2 linked regions of the Stegostoma tigrinum genome follow. The protein of the gene in region 2 interacts with the protein of the main gene of each other region in a biochemical or structural test. Links are inferred from orthologs where the notes say so. Each region holds a gene or a part of one and is shown on either strand. Other genes may lie near its edges.

Region 1 (8,402 bases), on a different chromosome or scaffold from region 2:
TAGGGTGTGGAATTCCACAAATTCGCAGTCCTGGGTGAAGAAATTTCTCCTCATCTCATCTTGGACGGTCAGCTGCTTGTCTACATGCTATGCCTCTATGCCCCAGTAAGGGAAACGTTTTCTCAACAATGAACCTAACTCTAACCCCGTCAAATCCCCTTAAATGTAAATCACCTACCATTCTTCTAAACTCCAGGCAATATAGGCCCAGGTTCCCTCATATATGAACACACACACACACACAAACTCACTCTCACACACGCACACATTCTCTCTCACACACACACACACACACACATACTCTCTCTCACACACACAGTCACACACACACACACACACACACACACACACATTCACTCCACACATTGGCCTGAATCTTCACGCAGATGGGCACTCTCTACACTTGTGTTGAAAATGCTGGCAGAGGCCTGAATGTGAAAGTCTCACTTAAAACCCAGCACCTACCATTTTCAGGGCAGTGGGAGTAAAGAAAATTGCTGAGTGATCAGTCTGAACAACTCCAAGGGACTAAATGGAACTGTCAGTTTGCTTGAGGGGAAGGGATTAAGTGAACTGTTCAACTTCATAAGAGATTACTTGAAGAAATTTGTCTTGTTTTAAACAGTAACCTCATCAATGGAGAAACAACTTGATTTCAGCGGTGTTCCTGGTTTGCCCACAGTGAACACTAAGTGAGTTGGTTGGACAGCAGAGTAAGGACAATGAGTGAAGTCAGAGGCATAAATTGGCACAGGGGCTATACAGGGCTATTTGAACGAAGTCAGAAGTCACATGACACCAGGTTATAGTCCAACAGGTTTATTTGAAATCACAAGCTTTTTATCCACTGCCCTTCGTCAGGTGACAAAGTTGTTTTCATTTGAATGAGACTATCTATTCGCATTGGGATTGCAAGGGACAATATGGGATTATTGGATGGGGGTATGGAGGCCTGTGGGAGTTAAGATATAGTAGGTTAGTTTCCAAAGTCATTGTGTCTTTATTTTTGTTTTGTGTATTTCCTTTTTTAAAAAAATCAGAACCCTAACAGTGTTCGGGGCATAAGGGCAAGCTTCAGCTGTAATTAGGAAATCACGGAGGCCAGCTCCCAGGGATCCCTTCCTGCAGGGCGGGGAGATGGAGTCCGAACTGCAAATCCACCCGGTTCTGCCCTCGTCACGGAGCCTCACGATGGGTGCCTCACACACACACATTCCCAATGGGAACAGTGGGTTTTTTTCACCTGACTCAGAGCTTCCGGATCCCTCCTCCGACACAGGAGTTCTGGCTCACGTACAGACGACCGCCTCTTTCACGTAGGATGACCCGATCGCTGGCCACGCAAAACACGCAGCTCGGCCTCAAGGGAGTGAGGATTAACAAAATTGCGTAAAAGCGGACTGGGATCGCAGCCCAAAAAAACGCTACACACTGCGAATGAGAGCTGCAGCTGCGACCACAACAGAATGGGTCTGCATCCTTCTGCTTGAAATCCGGGCAATTTCCATGCCTCATTACAAAAAACGGACCATTCCAGATGACACTTGTTACAAATACACAACAGATTTTCAGGAATGTTTGAGGGAAGCCAACATTTCGAGTAGTAGACCCGCGGATCGATCCAAGTCTGGATTGCCTTTACTTTTCCGTTTAGACTTTAACTGCTGTGTGTTTGCAGCATTTAAAAATAAAAAATGATTTTCACTTCACATCACAGGGCACCCCCTGCTAGTATCTATTAATTGGAAAAAGTAACAGCACATGACAGTCGAGACTTCTTGCAGCCCGAAACAATGTGCCAGATGCTCCCGTGTCAACAATAGCGCCTGATTGGACTGAAGATGTTGTTTATCAGGATTCAGCGGGGCTCCCATTTACCCGGGAATTTCAAACGTCCAATCAGTTCAATTGCTAGGGCCGTCCACAGAAACAGGAACAGGACTAGGCCGTTCGGCCCCTCGAACCTGCTCCACCATTCAATAGTATCACGGTTGGTCCGACGCTCTTCATGCCCGCTTTCCTGTCCACTCCCCTTAATGACCAAGGGGAGCTATCTCAGTGGCCAAACCCTTGTGCTAAATATTCACGACTGACTCAAATGCTCAGCCTAGAAACGATCCTGTTTAACCTCTCGTGTATCGCAGTGATTTACAGAGTAACTCAACTCACCAGCGCATCCAAACACTTCACACAAAACCGGAAATCTTCACCCTGTTAAAAGTGCTACATCACTTCAACATTGAGTTCTGTTCACTGAATAAGACATTTCAAAAGAATAACTTTGAATCCACCTGTAGAGAGTTTAGGGAACTTTCTGAACAGTCGGGCTTTGAAATCGTAGCCTCATCGCAATGGACACAGTCTTGTGGAAGACAGACAGTCAAGAGAGCCCTGAGAGACAGGGAAGACCCATTCACTGCCTTATTGCCACTCCAAGCAATCCTGCTTAAGACTGCCGTGATGTTACCTGTAGGGTAGGACAAATTGACCGAGATGACACTGCCTCCAAGTATAAGCACAGATAGATGAAAAATAAGATCATGTTCAAACTATTGGTATGCCCCAGTGAGAGAGTAGACATCTTTAGCAGACCAAGGGAGAGAATGAATGGTGATTTATTGTAGAGTACAACTGTCAACGAACAGCAATGTAAAATAGTGCGAAAAGCTCCAACTGTTGCCACAATCCAGCACCATTTGAATATCTTAGGAATAAAAAGTCTATCATTGTAGCACCACCTCCACCATGACTGCTGAGCCGGGTGACCAACCACACTTGTGCTGTCAGCCCTTCACCACCTGTGCCAGACCCACCAACAGAGTTGCCACTCTTCAGGTGCCATCTCTTCATTGCTGGGCCCAACTTGGCTACCCAAAATCACACCACAACCGGGGATCCTTGGCTTCACTGCCACTGCTGCCGCCTCACTGATAACCAGAAGCCCCCTCCCCCCACCCCCACCCCAGCTCCGGGCCTACCACAACCATTATCCACTGCTGCCACCTCACCAGTAACTCAGAAGCCCCCAGCTTTGGGCCTGCAGTGACCAGTACCTGCTGCTGCCACCTCACCAATAACACAGGAACCCGCATCTCCGGGCCCACCACAACCAGGAATTCCTGGCTCCGCTGAAACCACTGCCTCACTGATGCATGTACTCCCTGCTCTGGGCCCAGCACAACCAGGTTCCTGGCTCTGCTGCCAGGCCGGGCTGTTACCTCATCAACAGCCCCACTTCCCTCTGTGACATTACCTTCTCCACTGCTGACAACAGGAAATGAGGTGAAGAAAAGGAAAAAGAGATAAGACAGAAGGGGTTAAGGAAAGAAGTGAAGAAGTGGCCTTCTGGAGGTGATGGCCCCAGGAGCCCAAATGCTGTGTACCTTGCCAGTGCCATCATCTTGAAGTTAGAATAAAGAAATTAACACAACTACCGTCATTTTGGAATTGTGATACAGTTTATATTCTCTCTTCAGCAATGTCACTCTCTGTTTCTTTGAGTGAGCTCTAAAAAAAAGTAACACCAACTCATCCTTTAACATTTGGAATGGTTACCACTTCACACCTAATATTATTGCTCCTGTTAAAGCAGTTAACGTGTGACAGGGCAATGGGGTTGAAGTGTATTGTGTGATACTGTGGCTGTCAGAGTCAGAGGACTAGATAATCTCAGTTATGGTTATGGTAGGCGGGGAAATAGGATGGCACAGTCCAGAAATTAATTAGAGTGTGTTAAGAGAAGTTGCGATGCAAAGGAAATTAAACACCCTCCAGCATTTAACCAAGAGCAGTACTGACAAAGATCTTTTAACAGGTTTGCCAACTACCTTGGCTGCAGAAAATATGTGATTTTGGGAGATTAAAAAATGGAGACAGGATTGAGGGGAAGGGACAGAAGGCGGATGGGGATGGTTGGTGAAACAGGGGAAGTGAAATTTCCCTGAATTATTTCCTTGGTAACCTTCACATTGTAAAAGATGACTTGATGGTACTGTGGTTTCTTTCTTTCAAATTTCAATGTCAATTTCATAGCAGATATCTTCAGTTTATTGTCAACAAAATCAAAACGGTTGAGCAAAAGATGTTCATTGATGATCAAAATGACAAACTAGGTATCATAGATTTCAGGAACCTCACATTTTTTGCTTACAATTGTATCACAATTTACACAAATATTTATCTTCTCAACATAAATGAAGTGAACAGCACAATGCTGTTTAGATTCTCTCTGACCATTATCAAGTAACGACAACAAGTAATTGTACATAAGAAGTAAAACGTAACTGAGTGTGAGGAATCGGAAACAAAAACAAGAAAAAAATTGTAAAGGGGTTCAAACTGAAATTCTTCTCTGTCCAAATTCTGATGATCTCTTGTATGTTTCCCAATTTAGATAATGTATTGGGGTGTCTTGTTTTTATGAATAGGTTAAGAGTGGAAAAGGAAGGAATTCGTTCTGAAACGATGTAAAACATGAATTACACCTCAGCAGGAGCAGTAGGTCAGAGTTGGAGACCACTCATTAAGAAGCACGTTAGAGATAGCCCAGAAGAGATTTATTACAATGGCAGCGGGATAAGGGGCTTCAGTAATGTGGGGGAATGGAGAAACTGGAATTATTTCTTGGGAGAGTTAAGGGGGTTTAGACTTATTCAAAATCATACTAGGTTTCTAGAGTGAATGCAGGAGAAATTGCTTCTAGTGTTTGATAACTGCCGGATCGGGCTCAAGACTGGGAAGGGAGCACGTGAGGGGAAAAGTTTTCTTGACAGAGAGTGGTGCCAAGAAATTTAATAATAACTTTACAAACAAACATTGGGGAAATACTGGACGATAGAATTAGAATTGCTATGGGGGGAAACAGACGGGGGCTGAGATGAATGGGTAAGGAGCAGACGATGAATAGTTGGAAGACGTCACGGCGTGACTCATTGTTGAGGAAGAGCCAGTCTTTAATAAGCCAAGGGGAAGCGCTAGGGAGCAGATTCACAACAGGCTTCGAATGAAAGTGACGACGCTTGGAGAAGCCGGCGCAATGAGCTCACGAGCAATGCTATTGTTACTTGTTGCCGCGATTCTCCCTCTTCACCAGGCAGGTAAGGAGAAAACTGACTCACTCTGTCCGCCTCTGGGCCAGGATAGGAAGCGACAGGCTGGGCACTGACTGCGGGGAGCGGTTATACTGCCCGCAGCGTAGGGTTTCAGCACAGTGTGCTTCAGAAAACATGAAGCAGGCTGCAGTTTCCTGCTCTGGATAGGATTCTGGTTTCTGATCTGCATGAGGTGATTACTGAACAAGAGCTGGCTCTACAATAAGGCGCAGTAGTTGTCCTGGTTACTTGCCTCCAACTCGAGTGATTCGGAATATAAACTAGTCTCCCTGGCTGGGAGGGATTTTAACCGTGCTACCTTTAAATTTGAATCAAGGTGAGGCGAGGCTGTGAGAAATACAAGGCATAAAATACCTGCGAGCTTGACTTTTATGTGTGTTTTCCTCACAGCTAACCCTTGCTGCTCCAATCCCTGCCAAAACCGGGGAGTTTGCACCGCGGTCGACTCCGACAACTATGAATGTGACTGCACTCGCACTGGATTTTACGGCGAAAACTGCACCTCACGTAAGTGCTGGGATTGACTGACAGGTTCTTTTTTTCTGCGCGTTCACTGTTCGCCTTTCGGATAATCCGAACCCTCACCTGAATACCTGTCCTCTCCCAACAGCCGAGTTCTGGACCTGGGTGAAACTGAGCCTGAAACCGACTCCTAACACAGTCCATCACATCCTAACCCACTACCCAGGAATTTGGAATCTAGTCAACCAGATCCCTTTCTTAAGGGACAGGATTATGCGTTACGTCTTAACGTGTAAGTGACTTAAAGTAGCAGACGGTTACTTTTATTTGGATTATTTGCTGTCACTTTTAAGTCAACAGTGGCAGTACCAAATGTGGAGAGCAGATGCAAATTAGGCTTTTCGTTAGAAAAAGTGTCATTTAAGGGACGTGGGCATTAATGACTAAGTCAGCATTTTGTCCGTCTCTTAATGCTGTTGTGCAGGTGGGAGTGAACTTTGCGGTTCTTGAGGGTCTGGGGTTAGGTTGGGGGTCAGAGGGTCAGTTCTGCAAAATTTCAAAAGGCAGTCATGGAATAGCTTTCAATGAGGTTATCATTGGGCACTAGGTACTGAAAGCATGGTAAATGCATTTATGAACGTTGGGATATTTATTTATTGCTCACGAAGTAAAATTACATATGATTCTGTGAGAGATGGCTAGGGGATGGGAAATGATCGGATTACATGGATTGCTATGCAAAGTGAGTAGAGGAATTTTTACCTCGTGGTTCATTAGATCGTGGGAATTTATTAGTTCTATATTATTAATGACATCATATCTACTGTTAGACATTGGATGGGGCATGTGGAATCTGATTATGAATGTACTTCTTTTCTCCACAACCAGCCAGATCTCATTTGATTGACAGTCCTCCTACCTACAATGCGAAGTACTCATACAAGAGCTGGGATGCCTACGCCAATATCTCCTACTACACCAGAAGCCTTCCCCCAACTCCTGAAGATTGTCCAACACCAATGGGAGTAGTTGGTGAGTTACCAGAACAAGAAAACTTTGCTGCCCTACTAAAGGAGATGTCCAGTCTACTCCTGTTCCCATCTGAGATGCGCTTCCTGAGCCTTGTATCGAATTCGTGTCCCTTATGGGTGAAAAATGTTGTCCAGGATGGTGCTATTTCCATCCATGTTTTTTCTAATGAGCAAAATACTGTAATGTTATTGCTGTAACAGACAATCCATGAAAAGGATTGTTTTATTGCTCAGGATTGGGGTGGAATGGCACCACTTTAACAGAATTAGGTTATGTTTTAAAGATCTCTCTCTCTCTTCTCTCGCAGGAAAGCAAACACTGCCTGATCCTAAGTATTTAGCAGAAAGATTCCTGATGAGGAAGAAATTTGTTCCTGATCCCCAAAAGACCAATATGATGTTTGCCTTTTTTGCTCAGCATTTCACACACCAGTTTTTTAAGACTGACCAGAGCCGAGGCCCTGCATTTACATTGGGTTTAGGACATGGTGTAAGTATAAATCATTTCTATGGTTTCAACAATAATTCACAAATATTGAACATTAAAAAAATTGTTATACTTGCTTGTCATAAATCAATTCATATCAAAAATATATATAATCCCAACGCTATGCTTAAAATTACTGTGAACTTGTATTTTATATGCTTTGTATTTTGCAGGTTGACCTGAGCCACATCTATGGAGAAACTTTGGATCGACAGCACAAACTAAGACTATTTACAGATGGAAAACTTAAATATCAGGTAGATGTTTAAACAGAATTTGTTATCATGTATTTAGAAAGGTAGCAACATTTGCATGTTCAATGTCCAAATGCCTTTGATTTGTTTGGCAGTGTCTGTACGAAGCCTTCATGAAATGATCTAATTCACAAATATTTCTTGTAGGTTTTAAATGGAGAGGTTTATCCTCCCACTGTTAAAGATGCAGGGGTAGAGATGACTTACCCTCCTCATATCCCAGATCACTTGCGGTTTGCTGTGGGCCAAGAATTCTTTGGACTGGTTCCAGGGTTGATGATGTATGCAACAATCTGGCTGCGGGAACACAACCGAGTTTGTGATGTGTTGAAAGCGGTGCACCCTGACTGGGATGATGAAAGGCTTTTTCAGACAACCAGGCTAATATTAATAGGTGAGTGGATCTAACATATTCAGCTGCCTTCTAAAATGGCTCCTGATCCTTTGGGCATTTTGAGATGCAGAGCAGCATGCTGGCATGAAATACAAAAACACTGAATTCGTAGAACTTTACAGGTTTAAAGTTGAGTTTAAATAAACACTTTGGCATTAAAATTCTCTGCATTTAAATAAATATTTAAACTATCTTATTAATTTTAATAGGGGAGACAATCAAAATTGTAATTGAAGATTATGTGCAACATCTGAGTGGTTATCACTTCAAGCTGAAATTTGATCCAGAGCTGCTCTTTAACCAACAATTCCAATACAGTAACCGGATTGCATCGGAGTTCAATACCCTCTATCACTGGCATCCCCTGATGCCCGATACCTTCAACATCGAAGACAAAGAATACAGTTACCGTGAATTCCTCTTCAATAACTCTGTGCTGCTCGAACATGGCATCTCCAACATGGTAGCTTCATTCACCAGGCAGATTGCTGGCAGGGTAAGTATCAGCTCATGTTCAGGATGTTACATCTTGGTGCAAAACCAGGAAGTCATTTCAACTGTAATAATGGAGGCAATTTCAACACTTGAACTGCTGTGTCAAAATCACTCCATGTCATAATCCTTGTATTGCAATGTGATGGTGGCTTTGTTCACCTACCAATT
Region 2 (8,565 bases):
AAGAAGAGTGACCTTTGTGAAAAATAAGAGATTCTGAGAGGTCTTAATGGGGTAGACAGTGACAGGATGTTTGCCCTCAGGGAATCTATAAGTAGGAACCTCAGTTTGAAAATAAGGGGTCTCATTTTTATGGTACAGTTGAGGCTGAACTTCCTCCCTCAGAAGGTTATTAGTGCTCGGAATTCTTTTCCATAGAGCAGTGAAGTCTGGCTAATTGAATATACTCAAAGCTGAACTGGACATTTTTTTTGACAAGGGTGTCAATACTTATGGATGCTAACAGGAAAGTGGAGTTAAGGATACAATCAGATCAAACATTATCTTATTGATTAATAGACCAAATTTGAGGGCCCCAATAATGTACTTCCACTCCTATTTCCTCATATTCTTATGTAAGTTGTGATTGAATATCCAATAGTAACAACTTTAATTGAAAGATTGGGAAGCAAAACAATTCCAACTGCTTATGCTTAAATGATTAGATTTACTTTAATTTTACCATATCAAATGGATACAAATCTTCAAAATCAGAATACATATGCACACTTCTTTGTTACAATGCTGTATATTGTACCTTTATAGACCAATATTATGCTACTGTAATAACAATTAATGATGATGAAGTGTTGATTATCTTCAAGATATTGTATTCTCAGCACTTGAAAAGATTATGCACTGCACGTATGTAATGGATTCTATATTTATCTATCTTATGTTTGTACATCAGTGGAATATCTATGTCAGTACTTTAAAAAGTTGAGCCCTGTGGACATATTGTACCTTCTTCAGATCTATTTTGTGATACCATTTTAAAGTTACAAATTAAAACAACTGGGTGGCATCATACATTAATATTTATTTTCCTGACATGATTTGGTCTGTTATCAGCCTGAAACCAGAATCAGTTTTAGCAGGAGCTTAAGAAATTTAGCATTTAGAAAAGTTTATCATGTGCACTTTACAATTACTGAATAAAGTTAAAGGAGGTCTTTTTTTTAAATCCACTGACTCCACTGGGTAAAAGCATCATCCAGATTTTATCATCATACAAACAAAACAGCATAGATTTTGTTCTGTATTGTGTTAACTGACTGTGGAATGGCAACAATTGAAATACCACAATTCAATCAATGTGCCTTTGGTTATGGAAAGATCACTACAAACTATCAAAAGTAAACTTGCAGACAGAACCGTAAAGTCAACTTGTGGAAAAGACCACTAACTGATAACTAAAGTTGTCATGCTGAGTAAATGTAGCCTTGCTAAACTGCATAGCAATCTTACATTTTAGACATAACTTGTTCTGCTAACATAGAGATCCCAGTTATTGTTGAGAGATTGCACTCTTTAATGTGTCTTCATGTCTGTCATGATTTATATTTTGTTATCAACAGCTATTACCTCAAATGATGATGCAAACCTTTATGCATAAAGACTTTTTATAACCATAATACCGAAATCTCAAAACTATTTGTAACCTCAGAGCTTAACTAAATTATCATTTATATATAAACTCAGTATATAATCTATATGCCAGTTCACGATCTTAAAAGCTTGATTTGTAAGTCATCATGATAAGCTGAATTGAATATTTTATACACTCTAGATATCTAAGCTGGATTGCATGCACAAGGTAAAAAAAGGACTCATAAACTACAAACTAGTGCAGCAGAGAAGAAGGCCATTGAGAACAATGAGATCAGCATTACTTTTAAAAGAAAATCCAATCAGTAAAATTCACCCATTCTTTCTTCATAGGACTGCAATTTGTCTCCATCAGTTGTTTGTCCAAATCCTTTGTTGAAGATGGCTAGTGTATCTGTTTCCAGTGTCTGATGAGCCAAATTCTGATAATTCCAAATCCTAACAACTCATTGAATAAAGATAGATTTTCCTCATTGTCTCAAATCAATCACCTGAAATCCCTGGTTGTCACATCTTGGAATTTCTCTCTCTGTCTATTTATTCTGTTTGAACATTATATGATCTGAAACACCTTGATCACAACTCAGGTAAACCTTCTCTAATCTGATAGTCTCTCTAGTTTCTCTAGTCAGTCTAAATGACTGCAATCCCTCAACACTAGAACTATTCTAGTAAATCTCTGCGTCCTTTCTAAATCTTTAACAAACCTCTTTAAGTACAGAGCCTAGAATTTGACAAAGAATTCCATTTGGTATTGAATTAGTGCTTTATGTAGGTTTAGAATCACTTCCTGGAGTGCTATTCCATACTTTTGTCATGAAACCCAGTCCTGCTTTGGTACAGCACTTCCCGTAACTTTATCACTTCACAAGCACTTTAGTACTTTTGATATACAGTAAATGTTGCAATGTATGAAACTGGATGAATAACAAATACCTATAAATAGCAATTTGATAAGAGTCAGAGAATCAGCTTAGTGATGTTTCTTGGGAAGAAATATTATCTGGGCCACCAAGGAAACTGCCCTACACCCCATTGAATTACGTTTCACATTTTTAAATTCAGGAATGAGAGGATGATACTTTAGTTTAACATCTGATCTGAAAGGTGTCACCTCCAATTGGGAGATGGATGAACAAGATTCCAGCATTAGCACTGAGGTGGATTTAGCTGTAAAAGAAGCTTCAAAGATGGGAGAGGTGATTTTGGGAATGGATTTGAAACAATGATAAAGATTTTTACATTTGAAGTATTGGTGGACAGGTAACTGATGTAATTTAATTAGAATGGGCTTTGGCATGGGATAGGATGTGAGCATCAGAAATTTGAATGCGCTGAAGTTTGCAAATAGCAGATGATGGATAACTGGCCAAAGGAACATTAGAATTGTTGGATCTGTTGTATAAAGGTAATGGCTCTGAAAGAGTTAATGTTACATTGACTCCACTATTCTACAGCTGTCATACACACACCTTGTACATTATTCTAGCTTTTGGAGGGACCAGATACATCTCTATCAGATCACTAAGGTCTTAATAATTATACATGGCAAAAAACAGTTGCACTTTGTACGATAATGCAGTAAACCTTCCTGTTATTTAAAAATAGATCTCTGTTTTAGATAACCTATAGTGGTGGATCCTCAACCATTTATAACTAGACAGACTGAATACAAAACAAAGACAAAGGGGAATGGTATATCTGTCAGTGAACTATCAAACAACTCTTACCCAGTACCACATACTGGCAGAAGTAGCAGATACCAGGATTGTTCAACAGGGAATACCACAGGATCCAAAGGGTGCAAAGGCTTTGATGAAGGTTTGACCAGTAAATGTCCAAAGGCAAGAATGTATTGGAGGTGGGAGGAAGTGATGATTATAATGGAGGGAATGAAAATCAGGTTCAATAGAACATACCCACAGGTGCAAACAGCTGCTTCCAGTGGCTGGAGCTGTTTGAATGATGGAATCACTGCATTTGATCTTGGAATGGGATGTCATAAAGAAAATAGCTGCAGTCTTACCAATATTTAGTTGGAAGAAATAAAGCTTAGATTTTGGAGATGCAGTCTTTTAATAGCAATGAATGTTTCACAGGACCATGTTCCCATGTTTATAGATGATGGTACCTGGGACCACTATTGAAGGGAGATGTTGTTTTCCCAATGTATCAAAGACTGCTGATTTTGGACACCCATCCCTAGATCATAGAATCTCTACAGTGCAGATGGAATCCATTCAGCCCATCCAGCCCGCACTGACACTCAGTACAGCACCCCACCCTAATCTTGTGACCCTGCAACCCCAAATTAACCATGGCTAATCCACCTAGCCTGCACACTCCTGGACACTACCAGACAATTTAGCATGGCCAAACCAGCTAACTTGCACATATTTGGAACTTGGGAGGTAACTGGAGCACCTGGCACAAACATGGGGAGAATGTGTCACTCCACACAGTTACCCAAGGCTGGAATTGAAGCCGGGCACCGGGTGCTGTGAGGCAGCAGTGCTAATCACTAAGCCACCACGCCAAAAATCTGAGAAAGTGGAAGATGTTAGATGTATGCTCCTGGGAGAACTGGATTACATGGACAAGAATGGTTGCAGGTTAGCTAGCTCAGTTGGCCAGAGGCTGGTTTGTGAGGCAGAGTAACACCAACAGCATGGATTCAGTTCCCATGCTGGTTGAGGTTACCATGAGGGACTCTCCTACTCAACATTTTCCCTTGTCTAAGGCGTGGTAACCCATCGCCAGTTGTCTCTTTCTCGAAAAAGAATACTGTGGGACCTTTATACTGTAGTTCAAGGCAAATAGCCGTGTGAAGTTTAGTTTGGCCCCCGGTCTTTGCCACATGAGTGCATATCCATAGACGGATTCCTATTGTTAACAGTAGTTAAATCCCTATGAAGTTTGCTGGATTTCCTCTTTTCGAAACACCGGCGCGGTATTTCGGTGATTAATACTGCTGCCTCGCAGCGCCAGGAACCCGGGTTCGATTTCCCCTCCTCCGGTGACTGTGTGGCTCTCTCCGGGTGCTCCGGTTTCCGCCCACAGTCCAAAGATGTGCAGGCCAGGTGGATTGGCCACACTAAATTGCCCATAGTGTTCAGCGGTGTGTAGATAGGTGGGTTTATAGGGGGATGGGTCTGTGTGGGATGCTCTGAACTTGTTGGGCCGAAGGGCCTATTTCCACACCAGAGGGATTCTATGATAAATCTCGCAAGTAACTCGAGCAAATTTCCAAGATAATAAAATGTGAGGCTGGATGAACACAGCAGGCCAAGCAGCATCTCATTGTCCCCATGTCCGACACTTTGCTTCCCTTCCTAAGAAACAGACTTCACTGCACTGTTACCCTGTTTGGAAAACATTTTCCCATTACAATGCAAGTATCAGTTGAACTTTCGTCACTAATTTGCCGGAGTTTGTCTCGCCCTTCCTATGCCAGCACAAGAATGCCCTGCATCCGTGCATTAACACTCGATCTCCTCTCACACATTCTCTCCCTCTCGCTGGCTTGTCGATGTTCGCCTCTTGCCTCCCACAGCGGGTCTTGCCCAAGCCTTGCTGCTCGCTATGATTCACTGCGAAGTCATGTATGCATTCCCTATTTTCCGCTGTAGCTGGGAACTTGGCGTTCTGTGCACTGAAAAGCGGCAGCTCTTCAAGTCAGAGCTCCCTTTACAGCCCAGAGGAACTGGCGGTCTGCCACAAGGACCAGCGATCACTACCTACTTTCACGTTACTATCTTCCTTCCGCAGGGTAATAGTAATAGAGAGCTGCAGCAGATTTGCTGAAATCCTCCAGTTTGGGAAGCTATGTCTGGTGACAAAACCGGGGATTTTGAGGTAAGGAAGAGTCGCGCCCGCCTTATTACAACTAAATGAGACCACAGCTGAGGAACGGGACAATAATAATGATCTGATGCAAGATAGTAACAATATTTGGGGGGGGGGGGGGTGTTGCTGTACCGGTTTTTCATTGTGAAGAGCGTAGGCAAGGTTGCCTGTTGATTGTGAACGCACACTGCAAAATAACTGAACCTATCGTGACTTTGAAACAAAAATACTTGGCCATAAAAGAAGCTAGAAAATACACGAGGCTTTTTTTCTTAAAAGAAGTCAATTATACACGTTAGATTGTTATTCAGACTTGTAAATCAGTGGAATATAAAAAATGTCTTGTGATCTGGGGAGACAGGACAACATATGGCGATGGTCTATGCTCCTCAGAATTGTCAGGAACAGGCTATTCGGCTGTTTGTGCCTGTCTCGCCAGTATGAGGAGGTAAATCCATATTCCAATCTTATCCCTTCAGCCATCTGCCTCCAGAATTAGATCAGTCCCTGGTGGTTTATACCCAAGGACTGAGCATTCAAAGCTCTCGGGGGGCGGCAAGCTTCATTGTACTCATTCCTAAATCGCAGAATCCTTATTGTGCGTCTGCCATGCCGTCTCCCCAACTTGAACCTACCAAATCCCTCCAGCATTTTCTGTTCCTCTGGCGTTCATCGATATTCTTGTAACCATGCAAAAGTGGCAATTGACAAGAGGTAACTTATGGATGGTGTCAGTTCGATAGGATTTAACCTGTAGGATCCTTCATTAAAATGAGGGATTCACAGGAGAACTGAAGCCCATGAGAGGACATAGGCAGCGGTCTCTCTCTCTGTTTCAGAAGACGAGTACAGTTTAAAGGGCGCCACTCTACACAGACCAAGGCGAGGAACCAGTTCTCGATTAGGTACCACAGTCAGTGCGGGGATTGAACCCGCTATTCTGTCCGACACGTTAACTTCGTACTGACACTCGGGTCTTAAGGAAGCTCCCCAAACAATCCCTTTCCTGTTAAAGGGACTGATCTCCGCGGTGACTCAGTTCTCAAACTGCTGGATTTATTAATCCTGCATTTGTTCTGCAAAACAAAACAGAACAGAACTTTCGGAGGAAGGGAATCAGAGGCTGGTGGATGTTCGTATACAGGTATTGAATTCGGTACCTCTTCGAGCAGTTGTGCATTGCCCAAAGGGGATGGGGAGGGAGAGAGAGAGGGTGGGAAGGCCGGCTGTAGGAGAATTCGACGCCGTGTTCAGTTAGAGAGCGGTTTCTGGACTCGAAGTCTTACAAGATGATGTCCCAACAAAACGGGCAAGAGGTAGCCTGGATGATGGTGTCCCTGGTGCGAGATTTTCCAGAGCTGCAGTGATTCACTATAGCCCGCAACGAGAGATTTCCCAGTGAGATGCAGTGCTGGACTGATTCACTGCATTCCTGAATAAAAACAAAATCCCAGTGAATGCATTGCTAGAGACTCACTACATCCCTAAATTGGAGAGATTTCCTAGATGGTGCAGTACTGCAGTGTGTCACTTTATCCCTCAGTTGGAAGACATTTGAGGGGGTGCATTACTGGAATGACTCCCTTTTATCCCTAAGTTGGAGTGATCTCCCAGAGGGTGTATAACTGGAATGACTCACTTGTATCCCTGGCAGTGAGGGAGATTTCCCAGTGGGTCAGTACTGTAGTGACTCACTGTATCCAGGCGAGCCCCCGTGCTGCCCCCTGCTGCCAGATGGAAATGGTTTTGCTGCCGCCAGCTCCGGTTTACAGGGGTGTGGTGCCGCTTTACTTTTCCACTTAAATACGATCAGGCTCCACAAAGTTCCTCTTAAGCATCAAGCAGCGACTACCTTCCGAGTTTTATGTTGGAACAACTCAAAGTCAGCTTAAACAAGGAATTGTTGTAACCCTTCCCAGGGACTTTTATACCCGTCGCCGATCAGAGACCACGGGAACATTTACAAACCCAATAATAAAATGGAAGATGAGAAGTTGAACGAGAAATACGTGACAGATGTTCACACCAAAGAGATCGATTTAATCAACAGAGATCCAAAACATCTGAACGAAGATGTGGTTAAGGTAAGGAAGAGAGACGAACTTTGTTAAAGTTGGGAATAATACAGGAATTAAAGTTAAATGTTTGTATAGAAGGTAGTCAGAGGTAACAGGTTTGCAGGGACAAGGTTATTACCCAGTACGATTCCAACTGCTCGCAGTCCTATTGACGAACCCCTGCTACCAATTATAATTTTTCCAGTTTCTCTGGGAGTCGTGTCTCCCCGTGAAGCATCGAATTTTCGACCCCCAGGGAGGATATGAATTGATGTTGAGCTACTGATGTGTTTGATAGACACCAGGGATGGATTGCTGTTGAAAGCTATCACAAAAAACATGGAATTGGCCGAGAGATGATTCATCTGTGAAATAGCCTGAGATTTCAGCGACAGACCGGAACTTGTAAACAGCGTGAAAAGTGCAGGGTCCTCCCGGTGTGTTGAAAGGACCGTGTGGATTATACTGAGTGCATAAAAGGCATTTATCAAAACTGCACCCTGCAAGCAACACCATACCCCGCTGCACTCATCACCCAACCCACTGCTCTGTAACCACTCAACCCACACCCCAGTCCACATCACCCACCTTCCCCAGGCCACTGCTGTGTACCCACTGCACCCGATTACTCTGTAACATTTCAAGCCGGTCCACTGAACCTATCCCCCGCCCGCTGATCTTTACCTACTCAAGTGACTCAACTGTCCACTCCACCCATCCTCCAACTCACTGCATTGTGTCCACTACCCCCATCCCCCAGCTCACTGTCCATTTCCCACTTCATTGTTCTGAGTCTGCTGTTCCCAGCCCACTGCTCTGTGCCCTGAGCTCCACCACTGCTCACTGCATCCAACATGAAGTCCACTGACCCCATTCCTCTGTATACTGCTCTGTGCCCATTGTGCTAATCCCCACCACTTACATTGTTCATTGCATCCATCCCTCTGCCAGTAAAATTAAGACAGACATGGCTAGGGTGAATAGTTGGAGTTTTTTTTCCCAGGATGGAAATTTCAAAATCTAAGGAGCATATGTTTAAGATGGACAGGGGGAATTTAAAGGAGACGTGCAAGGAAAGTTTTTATGCAGAGGGTGTCAGATGAGGTGGTAGAAGCAGATAATATGGCAATGTTTAAGAGGCATTTAGACAGATGCATGAACAGGCAGGGAATAGAGGAATATGGACCTTATGCAGGTAGACAGGATTAATTTAGAATGGCACCATGGTCAGCACAGA

The links.
Region 1: the proteins of cav1 (region 2) and ptgs2b form a complex in vitro, tested with the Homo sapiens proteins (2 studies listed by BioGRID). The link is inferred for Stegostoma tigrinum from reciprocal best matches to the Homo sapiens genes CAV1 and PTGS2.

Annotation. Positions count from the first base shown.
Region 1 is NC_081361.1:46,206,908-46,215,309, forward strand, and holds the start of ptgs2b (prostaglandin G/H synthase 2), read left to right. Parts: upstream 1-4,972; 5' UTR 4,973-5,002; coding exon 5,003-5,096; intron 5,097-5,501; coding exon 5,502-5,618; intron 5,619-5,721; coding exon 5,722-5,865; intron 5,866-6,461; coding exon 6,462-6,605; intron 6,606-6,912; coding exon 6,913-7,094; intron 7,095-7,264; coding exon 7,265-7,348; intron 7,349-7,492; coding exon 7,493-7,739; intron 7,740-7,948; coding exon 7,949-8,235; intron 8,236-8,402. UniProt on the Homo sapiens protein: Dual cyclooxygenase and peroxidase in the biosynthesis pathway of prostanoids, a class of C20 oxylipins mainly derived from arachidonate ((5Z,8Z,11Z,14Z)-eicosatetraenoate, AA, C20:4(n-6)), with a particular role in the inflammatory response.
Region 2 is NC_081371.1:34,143,075-34,151,639, forward strand, and holds the start of cav1 (caveolin-1), read left to right. Parts: upstream 1-4,932; 5' UTR 4,933-5,250; coding exon 5,251-5,280; intron 5,281-6,174; exon of another isoform or gene 6,175-6,415; intron 6,416-7,190; coding exon 7,191-7,355; intron 7,356-8,565. UniProt on the Homo sapiens protein: May act as a scaffolding protein within caveolar membranes. Forms a stable heterooligomeric complex with CAV2 that targets to lipid rafts and drives caveolae formation. Mediates the recruitment of CAVIN proteins (CAVIN1/2/3/4) to the caveolae.